2 linked regions of the Callithrix jacchus genome follow. The protein of the gene in region 1 purifies or fractionates together with the protein of each later gene. This does not show direct contact. Links are inferred from orthologs where the notes say so. Each region holds a gene or a part of one and is shown on either strand. Other genes may lie near its edges.

What was found.
Region 2: the proteins of SUCLG2 (region 1) and SUCLG1 fractionate together in Homo sapiens (co-fractionation; 6 studies listed by BioGRID and IntAct, counting the BioPlex papers as one, with this or other methods). This does not show direct contact. The link is inferred for Callithrix jacchus from reciprocal best matches to the Homo sapiens genes SUCLG2 and SUCLG1.

What each region holds. Positions count from the first base shown.
Region 1 is NC_133516.1:49,488,040-49,495,222, reverse strand, and holds the start of SUCLG2 (succinate--CoA ligase [GDP-forming] subunit beta, mitochondrial), read left to right. Parts: upstream 1-2,931; 5' UTR 2,932-2,946; coding exon 2,947-3,030; exon of another isoform or gene 3,031-3,371; intron 3,372-7,183. UniProt on the Homo sapiens protein: GTP-specific succinyl-CoA synthetase functions in the citric acid cycle (TCA), coupling the hydrolysis of succinyl-CoA to the synthesis of GTP and thus represents the only step of substrate-level phosphorylation in the TCA.
Region 2 is NC_133515.1:28,624,938-28,628,437, reverse strand, and holds part of SUCLG1 (succinate--CoA ligase [ADP/GDP-forming] subunit alpha, mitochondrial), read right to left. Parts: exon of another isoform or gene 986-3,500; intron 953-985; coding exon 849-952; exon of another isoform or gene 1-848. UniProt on the Homo sapiens protein: Succinyl-CoA synthetase functions in the citric acid cycle (TCA), coupling the hydrolysis of succinyl-CoA to the synthesis of either ATP or GTP and thus represents the only step of substrate-level phosphorylation in the TCA.

The sequences.
Region 1 (7,183 bases):
ATGCAACATCTGATCATTGACTACTTTCTAGCACCCTGTGAAGTAGGTATTTCCCTAGTCACAGGTGTTCAAGGGGGCAGAGGTCAGATTTGAATCCAATCCAATTTGGCTGAAAACTTAATGCTTGTTTCAGGAAAGCACAGTGCAGAACTCTGGTAGCATCTAGATTCTCTGTCCTCAAAGAGCTTCCTACTTTGGGAAGGTTGGAGGGTAGAAGTGGGGAAGGGAGTATAAAATAGGGAGAAACCTTAGGAGGAACTCTGTAATACAATTCATTCCACCTATGTTTACTGATTACCTTTTCCAATCCAGGTCCAGTGCTAGGCACTGGAGATGCTATATGAATGGTTATCTTTCTTCCTTCTGTCCCTTCTCCCCTACGTGCTTGCTGCAGAGAGGGCAGAATGAGAAAATATGAGTAAAGACATTGAGGAATTGCTGATGAAAGATGTGGGCCCCAGAGCAGAGGATCAGACAGTTTTCCAGTTCAGACAGAAAAACTCCTAGGAGGCTGATAAGCCTGAAAAGCCTCCAAGTTAAGCACCAGTAGATAGTGAACCAATCAAAGACTGCCAAATGTACTTGGATGACCATCAGAAAGCCTCTCTCCACTCCCCTTTCAAAAATTCCACCCTAATAGAAAAACCTCATCCTAATAGAATACTCATCAATCAAAGATTGTCTTAAGAGTCTCTCCTTATCTCTATAAAACAAACACTTCTTTCAAATCCCTTCTAGTCTCATGTGGAAGGAAAGTGATAGTAGCCAACTCCCTTAATGTAGTAACCCTGAATAAACAGTCTTTGATTAATTCTATAGGTGGTCTTCCTTCTTTTGGCAAAAAGTTCAGAGCTCTCAACAAAGTTTAAACGTTCACTCTCAAACGTTAGCAAGTCTTTGCTCTATCCCAGCAGACCCAGTAGGGGTAATGATGAACAACACGGAAACTCAAATCCAATCTTGTCAAGAGGAGGGTGTTAAGGAGAGTGGTTAGAGTCCAGCTTTGGGGAATTCAATCACAAGCCATGTCACTCTTGGCAAGTTACATGACCTCAGAGTCATGCAAATGCCATGTAGAACTCTGTGGCCCAGTTTTCTCTCTGGCAAAATAGGAATAACAGTAGGACCCCCTTTGCAGGGCTTCTGTGAAGATGAAATGACTGACAACAGAGGCAACAGAGTATATGTATCAGCAAAGAGCGTAGGTTTGCCACTGAATAAAAAAGAATCCACAAGTCTATACTGATACAAATGGATAAAATAATTCACTGATGAATGGTGTTAAAATGAACTAAATATGGCCTGAGAGGGACTCGGTACTTCTACATTTGAGTCCTGGTAGACCAACTATAGCCTAGCTTAATAGGTAGACAAGATTGAAAACCTAACGTAGAAGTATGCCTAAAACAATAGCTTAGTCTTGGCCAATCCCATTGGCCATACTTCAACTATTCATACATTGCTGAGTGTTCACACTGTGTAAGGCAAAGGTCAAGGTGTAACTAATCCAGCCGTTCTGTACTTCACTTCCGATTCCTGTACATTTCCCTTTATGTATGTATGTATGTATGTATGTATATACGTATGTATGTCTATAAATCATCTTCCACCACATGGCTGCACTGGAGGCTCTATGAATATGCTGTGATTCTGGGGGCTGCTTGATTTGCGAATCGTTCATTGCTCAATTAGACTCCTTTAAATTTAATTCAGCTGAAGATTTTATTTCATCAGTGGAGATGATGGAGAGACAATGAAGTTTTTCTTAGAGTGGAACACAAACTAATAAATGTAGGATCCAGTTAGACAACTGCCAACTTGCCACCATCATGGGAATAATTGATTTAATCAATCATCATCACCATCAAAAGATGCTAAATCTAGTGGGTAAACTTGTCTTAAAACAGACTAGAAATTCTGTTGAAATAAAAATCCTCAGCCCGCTGCTTCCCAAAGAGAGAAGCTAAGAAAGAAGCTAGTAGCAATAGCTGTCTACTTCTGTTAAATTGTACCGTTTTTCATGATCATATACTCAAGAACGAGTAAGGTTAAAAAAAACATATAAAATAGTGCTGAATTTAGGGGTGGGTGGAAGGGATGTGAATCTCATCTCTTATCAGAACTGCCGCCCCTGGCAAGTTACTTAACCTCTGTGTATATCAGTTTTCTCTTCTGCAAAATGGGGATAGTACACTTGTACGCACTTAAAAGGTTGCCACGAAAACTAAACAAATTTATATTTGTCCAGTGCTTCGTACATATTCAGTAACTTTGCTCTTGTTTTTATTACGTGTGCAATGCTTAGACTCGTGTAAACTCTGTGAAAGGGAAATAATCTTGGGATCCCCAAATCACTAAGCTAAAAGGAAAAGTTAAGGTGGGAACAGCTTAGGGCAAACCTGCCTCCCATTCTATTCAAAGTCATACATCTGCTCACAGACATAGATGCACAGCTGATTGCCTCCTTTGGAAAGGCTAACCAGAAACACGAAAGAATGCAACCCTTTGTCTCTTACCTACCTATTACCTGGAAGCCCTCTGCGGAGGGCGTCAGCTCCGTGAGCCACCCTTCCAGCTGCCACTGCCATGGCGAATATTCGCTTGTTTGGCCATCCCGGGATTGTTTGATACCCAAGACCGCAGGGCTTGGGCTCTGTCTTTGCTCGGGACTGTAAACCAGGAACTGCACAGTAGGCCCTGAGACCTTGGTACTGCTCCAAGTGAAGCAGAGCTGGGTGAGGGACCTAGGGCTCTGCGGCCTCAGGAACGCCCACGACCCGGGAACCCAGGGGGCCGGCCTGGCCCGCCTCTGCCTCCACCTCCTCCTCCTCCTCTTCCTGCCTTCGTCGGTTTCTCCCGGAGCCCTCCTCCTGCCGCTCCTCCTCCGCCTCCTTCCCCTGCCCTCACTCCCTCTGCGTCTGCCCCGTGCCGGGTTTCCTGTTTAAGATGGCGTCCCCCGCGGTAACGCAGGCCGGGAAGCTTCTGCGAGCCCTAGCGCTGCGGTCCCGCTTCCTGGCGGCCGCGTCCCAGGTGAGCGTGGCCTGGTGGCGGGAACTGCGGGCGCTAACAGCGGCGCCCACCTGCGCCGGGCTCCCCTCACCCCCTGCTGCTCCTGCTCCCCGCGTGGCCCCGTGCACGGCCCCTCGGGCGCCCCACTTCGGGACGCGACGCGGCGCTGCGCCCAGGAGCAGGAGCGACCCCCGCCCTAGTGTAGCGCAGGGGCGGCGCGGGGGCGGCCTCGGGTTGCCTCGGCATGTGAGCTACCCAATGCGCGGGAGTCGCCGCCGTCGGACCCCATGCTGACTACACTGAAGCAGGCGCTGGATGCAAGTTTAAGAAAAGTTTCTCGGACCAGGTTTTGGAGCCCTGAGGTTTTATTGTCATTCCTAATTCTGCTTTTCAAACGTCTCGCAGTAACCCTGAGCACATTTAGGCCACGAGATAAACATGTCTAGAAACCCATTTCATGCCCACTAGGAACTCACCCCCCAGGGTGGACTTCCTGCAGGCTACCTGCTTTTGCAGACTTTTAAGATCCCCGAGTTGGTCAAATGCACGGGTCAAGGAGAAAAATGGGAAACGATCTTTCTCATCTTTTCAGTGAAGAATCAAGCCTGTTACTAAAACGCAGTAGACCATTGACCCTGACCATGCCCTCCTTGTTGATGGAGAATGAAACCAGAGAGGTTCAGTGGTGGGTGCTGGTTAGCGATTGGAACTTGTACTCTGGGAGATTTGTACCTTCTGTAGAGGGCTACCGTTACAGTAGTCAGAAAGCCATCAGGGACTGCTTAGTCTCTAGATTCTCTCTCTCCCCTTTTAAAAGAAAGCACAGTCTGGGATTCAGCCACAGCAGAGTTAATGATCTTGCCTATTTCCCCATTTTTAATTGATGAGGCAAATTATCACTCATGCAATTTTAACCAGGATGTGCGTAGTATAGTTTTTAAGAAAATTTTTAAAAAATGCGATTAATGATTTTTTGAGTTATTCTAAGCTTTGGTTAATTATGGCATCTGTGAGCTGTGTTTCCCCTCTTTCATTTCCTGCCTTCCCATTTCTCTGTTATTGTTAATGTAAATTTAAAAGGTGGTGATACTACTGTAATATTCTTAATAGATGCTTGACAGTATAGTAAGGTGGAAAAGGAATGGCAGTTTTGTCTAATTAAAACTCAGTAATTACTGTTGTAATAGAGTAAGGAGAATACCTCCAGGTGATTAAGCCCTGTTCATTATTTAAGTGATAGAAAAAGCAAGAACCAGGGTGCTAACCATGTGTGTAGACTTAAATTGATGAGAAACATGGGGCCCAGGGCAGTGAAAACTTATGAATTGTACAGAGAAACCTAAAATGCAGAGTGTTTAGCTCAGTATGTGAAGCGTTCTTGCCTAACCAAGAAATGAGAGGCTGAACACAACACAAGACAAATCTGACTGGGGAGAGATACTCTTGGTCTGTCAAGAAAACTGGTAAAAAGATCTGTTAGTGCACACCATCTGACTACTATGATTTACATACTTGTGGATGATGTGTTATTCTGTAACATCTTAGAAGACAAAAATGGGTTTTATAAAAGATAGAAATGTATACAGTGTCCAAGAGCTGGTAATGGACGTTAGCAATCACCTAGTCCAGCTAGATAAATTGAGGCCTGAAGAAGTTCAATAACATATTCAAGGTTACAGTGAGAATTTGTGGCATTCCAGAGTAAAGGCTTACCCTTATGTTTCCATTACACCAGGTGGTTTCCTGGTGACTGTATGCTTCCTCATGAAAATATATTAACGTGCAAATTAATCTGAGTACCAATAGTAACTATATAACATCCAAGTCATTAGCACCACTGACACATTTTAATGTTTTTCTTTATGACCATCTTAGAATTGGCCACAAAAATAGATGAGTATTGCCATGACTTGTAAGAAAGTTTATTTTCAAATTCTTGGGTGCTTCCTATGATCTGTTTCACATAAACTGATTTGATATTATTGCCTCCATGGTCCCTTGCCTATGGCAGACATTACAGTTAAACATGGCCCACTTCTTTTAACATACTTAAGAAGCCTCACTAACTGTCTCAGAAATCTGTTGCCACTCTTGGCCCAGACCTACTTTATACCACAAGGCCTTATGAAAAACTGTTGTCTGTACAGAAATGAAAGACCCAGTTTCCGCTTAGAGAAATAACTTTCCCTGGTCTCCTAAAGATACCCATAGAATGACATTTTAACTCCCCCCTCCCTGTAGCTAAATTTAACATTTGACACATATTCCTGATGCTTCGTGTCACTGAAATTTTTTAAATTTTATTTTAACCTTTGCTCTTAACTTTACTGTTTTGACTTTTGACTGATTAAGGGTCCACTTTAGTCATTTCTTATTTTTCATTTAGTTTTTATTCAGCCCGTACTATTTGGTAGGACTGTTGTAGACTCGGGTTTGAGGGTGGTGAACGAGGCAGGCAGAGTCTTCGGCCTTGTGATACTTTATTATTATTATTTTTGGGACAGAGTGTCACTCTTGTTGTCCAAGCTGGAGTGCAATGGCATGATCTCGGCTTACTACAGCCTCCACCTCCTGGGTGCAAGTGATTCTCCTGCCTCAGCCTCTTGAATAGCTGGGGTTACAGGCGTGCGCCACCAAGAGAGTGAGCCGGTATACATATAACCAATAATGAAAATGATTTCAGCCAATGACAAATTCTGTGAAGAAAATCAGTCAGGGTCACGGGATGGAGAATGAATAGCTTCACAGAAGGGTAGCTGGATGTGAAGAAGAGACCTATTTAGACTGGGCGATCAGAAGAAACCTATTTGACATGCTCGTTTTTTTTTTTGTTTTTTTTTTTGGCAGAGTTTTTTACACAGAAATATAAGACATACTGAAAAATGTACTTTTATAAATGAAGAAATTGATGAATTTTTATAAACTGAATGCACATCCAGCTAACTAGGTACAGATCAAGAAATTAATCATTTAACAAAACCCAGAGGCCCCCTGCTGCTCCTGCCTGTCACTGTCTCCACCCTACAAAGGATAACCAGTCCCCTGACTTATAGCACTGTTTCGTTCATTTTTGTACTTTATGTAAGTGGAATTATACATATGCATATACATACTTGACATTGCTCAGCATTATATGTAAGTGATCCTGGAGATGGTGTTTTTGATATTTGAGCTGAGATCTGAGTGATGAAGGGTAGCCAGCCAGGTGAGACTAAGGGGAAGAGTGTATTAGGCAGAGCAGACAGCAAGTGCAAAGGCCACAAGATGAGAATGAGCTGGGCATGTCAATGTAATTAAAGAGGGGGAAGGTGGTAGTAGACAAGGTCTGAGAGGAAGACAAGGGCCAAATCACATGGAGACCTGCAGGGTCTGGTAAGGAGTTTTCAGGGTTTTAAACCTTACAGAGGCTGAATCCCAGTCCTGGCAGCTAAAGCCCAGGCATGTAATTAATATACTATGCATACCCACTATTATAAATCTAGGTTAGTCTTGCTTTGAAACTTTTAGCAGACTGATGTTCAGTGAATTTAGCAGTGAGAATCTAACTATGGTTAGAAGTCTTCCCAAAGTTCTAAATCCTGGTAGACAGGGGCCATATTGCTGTGTCCACATAGCCAAGTGAACAGACTAGCAAGCTAGTCCCATGGTGCGCACAGAGATGAGTGCTGCCAGTCAAGTCTTAGGGGAAATGTTGGCTGAGGGCACTGAGTTTAAAATGGTTCTTTGTAAGTCTAAGTACAGTATCGTTGTCTCTTAGGGTATTTCCCCTCTTCTATGGCTAGGTGAAGTTCATGTAGCTTGCTTATAGGAGAAGCACTCCCTCTCAGGCCTCCAATTTTATTTTACCTTTTTTTGAGAGACAGACTCACTTTCACTCAGGCTGCAGCGCAGTAGCATGATCTTGGCTCAGTACAACCTCCGCCTCCTGGGTATAAGTGATTCTCCTGCCTCAGCCTCCTGAGTAGCTGGGACTATAGATACATGCCACCATGCCTGGCTGATTTTTGTGTTTTAGTAGAGAAGGGGTTTCACTAAGTTGGCCAGGTTGGTCTCAAACCTCTGACCTCAAGTGAGCTGCCCACCTGGGCCTCCCAAAGTGTTGGGATTATAGACATGAGCCACTGTGCCTGGCCAGGCCTCCAATTTTAGAATCATTGTTGTGTGTTCTCTATGC
Region 2 (3,500 bases), on another chromosome or scaffold:
CATTATATATATTATATGCTGGATAACATTATATAAGTATAGTTCTGTATAATAAACAGTACAAAACACATATTCTATAAATACGTTTATATGCACAAGAAAAATATCTGAAAGGATACATGCCAATTGATTAACAGAAGGAATTCCTGGGGAGTAGAAAGGTAGGAAAATGGAAAGGAGATTCTTAGGTGGCATTTTATTACAGAATCACATCACAGATATATTTTCACTCATACAAAATCTATGATGTGAACAGGAAAGAGGATGAGACAATGAATATAAATAAATGAGAATAAATTAAAACACTTCAGGGAATTTTGCCTGGTAGTCCCAATCATGGTCCCAGAGAGAGTATAAGTTGGGAAAACTCAGTGGTCTGGTTCTTCTGCTTGTCTCACTATCCAAGAGACTCTGTGGGTTTGAACATTTCTCCACACTGAATATGGATTCTGTATTTAACAATATGTTTTTTTTTGTTTGTTTGTCTGTATAAAACCTAAACACAAGAATCTAGTTTACCTAGTGCTCAAAGAAACAGTTATCTGTTTCAACATCATAGGAAAACCAAGTGTTGTATTTGCTGAAAGAAAGTATGTTGGCCTCCAATACAATATAGTCCTAGTAAGCATGCAATATACTCCTTCGCAAAGTAAGTTTAAATAAAATTTTTATGCTATAGGCTGACAATAGCAACTAACCGCCTCCTGACATACAACCCCATTGCTGTACAGTATATTTTTCTGCAACAATCTGATATATTTTTTGTGATATTAAAAATAAAAAAATAGTTAATTTGTTATATCTCTAGTCTAGTCTACATTTGAAAATAAAAATCTAGATACACATACCTGTTTGCCAGTGAAACCCTGGCAAATAATCTTTGTATTTTTATCAACGTAGAGATGTTTCCGAGAAGCTGTATAGGAACAATGCCGAATTCCATTCTGTGGTACTAAGAGGTTAAAAAAAAAATGACACATTATAATTTTTCTAAACTTTGAACCACAATTCAACTTGATCACAAGAAAACATCCTGTAATGCACAAGCTATCTTGTGATCATGGCAAACCTAAATGCCACCTTTTAAATATGACACAGAGACCACAGAAAAAAGTTAGAAAAACAAACAAAAAAAGACATTGTTCCATTCGCCAGGATCCCCTCTTTATCAAGAACCACGATCTTGTTGTTTGTTCTGAACTGAGAAAGAAAAAGCTGAGAAAGAAAAGAAAAAGTTTATCATTTTTATTTTCTAGGAAAAAAAATCTGGGGCTCACAGATAAATGGTTCAAATTAAATCCAGGGACTGAAAACTGTCACCCCCATTAATAATGTTTACTAAACAGCCACATGGTTTCCCATTTGACCCAAATTTTTAAAGCCTAATACCTTTAAATAGGTAAGCTAAGAGGCAAACTTTGTCAAGAATACAAGTAAAAATCGCTCAGCAATTCATTCTCTAGTATAAACAGCATATTAAATGTTAAGTCATAGAATAAAACGTATCTAAAATACAATCCAAAATCACTTAATCTCTTCTGATATTAACTCACATATAAAAGAAACAGGGATAAAATAAATAGGAAAGTAAACAAGAGAAGAAGCAGCATGTGGAGAAAAAAAAAAGAAGACCTAGGTTGAGAAATCTAAGTAGTTACTACAACCAGCTCCCCACATTTCAAAAAGCAGTAGGAAGAACATAGATGACAAAATTGTGTGCTACTTTCTAAACCTCCATTAGTACTATCAACATGCCTTTTCTGTGACCCATCCCCGGCCCCTTCAAAGTAGCCAGGCCTTCTACCTATCATTGTGGTCGCCCATGAAGCAAGTCTAAGAAAAGAACATAAGGAGTAATCTTTATTGAACAACAAAAAGAACATGCTGTCATGTACTTGCCCAGAGTCCACTCCATGCCTTCTGCCTTAAATCACTGCCTCATGTCCACCTAAGTCCTGACCTCACACTCCGTAACTGAAAGATCAACAAATCTGCTTCTGGGAGAGTATTTGGAATCCCTTATACCTCCAGGAAGGACACAGGTTCAGATTTAGCCCTTACCACCTGGGTAGCATATCGTGCACACGAAGAACTGCTAGGTAACAGACAGCTTTCTCACACTGGACTGTGCTCAACAAGGGGCCATTAGAGAGCTTTGCAGGTCAAGGTCTGGCATAGCAGTCACAGCTAAGCATTTGACTCTAGGCTAATGGACACAGCAGGGATTTGTGGCCTGAGACCCTAGTCCTACTGAGCTATGCAGCACAGCTCACCCTCACCAGTGCTGTCACGTGAGACCCATTCTTGCCCTTGGCTCCTACTTCTCCCAGATGAACACCTACAACCATGATATTTGTGTAGAAGCTCCACCCTTTCCTACCCTGCTACAATTCCTGACTAGTGGCAGAATCGGCTTTACCAGTCCCTCCCATTCCTAGAAACGTCAACGAATGGTCATATCATATCATAGTTTTCAGACAAGAAGGTAGAAGATTTGATTATAAGATCAGATGTTATGATCAGGATATCTGGAGTCCCTACTTGTTAAAACAAAATACTTTTTGTAGGTAAAGTTTGGTTTCTTCAAAGAACTCTTATACTCATTAACTTAACAAAGATCAGACAATTCTCTTCTCCCTCCACAGGAGACGTCACCCTGAGAAAATCCAGGTCTGTCGGTGTCCCTAAAGCACAGCTACAATAACAGACCAATGAAAATCTCTACTTTCTTATAGTAACTCCAGAACTCCTGGATCAATTCTATGGAGCTCAAGATGTTATAACATCAGATCTTTGGTGCTCATAAAAAGTATATCAGAAGTGTGATACACAGCAGCTCAACTCCCAATCCCCTGGCCTTTTTGTATTACTCAGTCAGTGCAATGCCCCTGAGAGCCTACAGCATCTAATTAAGTAAATCTTGGAAAACTTCTAATGCATAAATGTAGATGTGTGTGATCTACCCATGTACGTACCAGGCCTAAGCTCATACAGATCCACTTCTAGATAAGCTGGAACTAATAGACTATTATCATCTTAGAGGCTCATTCATGTGTGATCTCCCCATCTGCACCAGGCTTAAGCTCATACGGACCCACTTCCAGATGAGCTGGAACTAATAGACTATTATCATCTTAAAGGCAAATCCAAAATATGTATTCAAAAGCAAGGAAGTGAAATTCTTGATCACATTCCATCCTGACAAGAAACCTGTATGATGCCAGACAAGGTTATCATCTGGTATTGAGTTCATCATTTATTTAGTCAACATTTAGGGAGCACCTACACCACCATAATGCCACATAATGCAGGTGTTAAGGATAAAGTGATGAATGACAGTATCTCAGTCCTCAAAGAACTCACAATCTATCTGAACTGACATAAAAGTGGGCCACAACTGTGTGGCGTGTAAAGTACCAAAATAAGAAAAAGCCTTGGGCATTTGGGATCCCTATTCAAGGTAGAGAAGTCTATGTATGTGTGAGAGGTGGGAGGGTGGA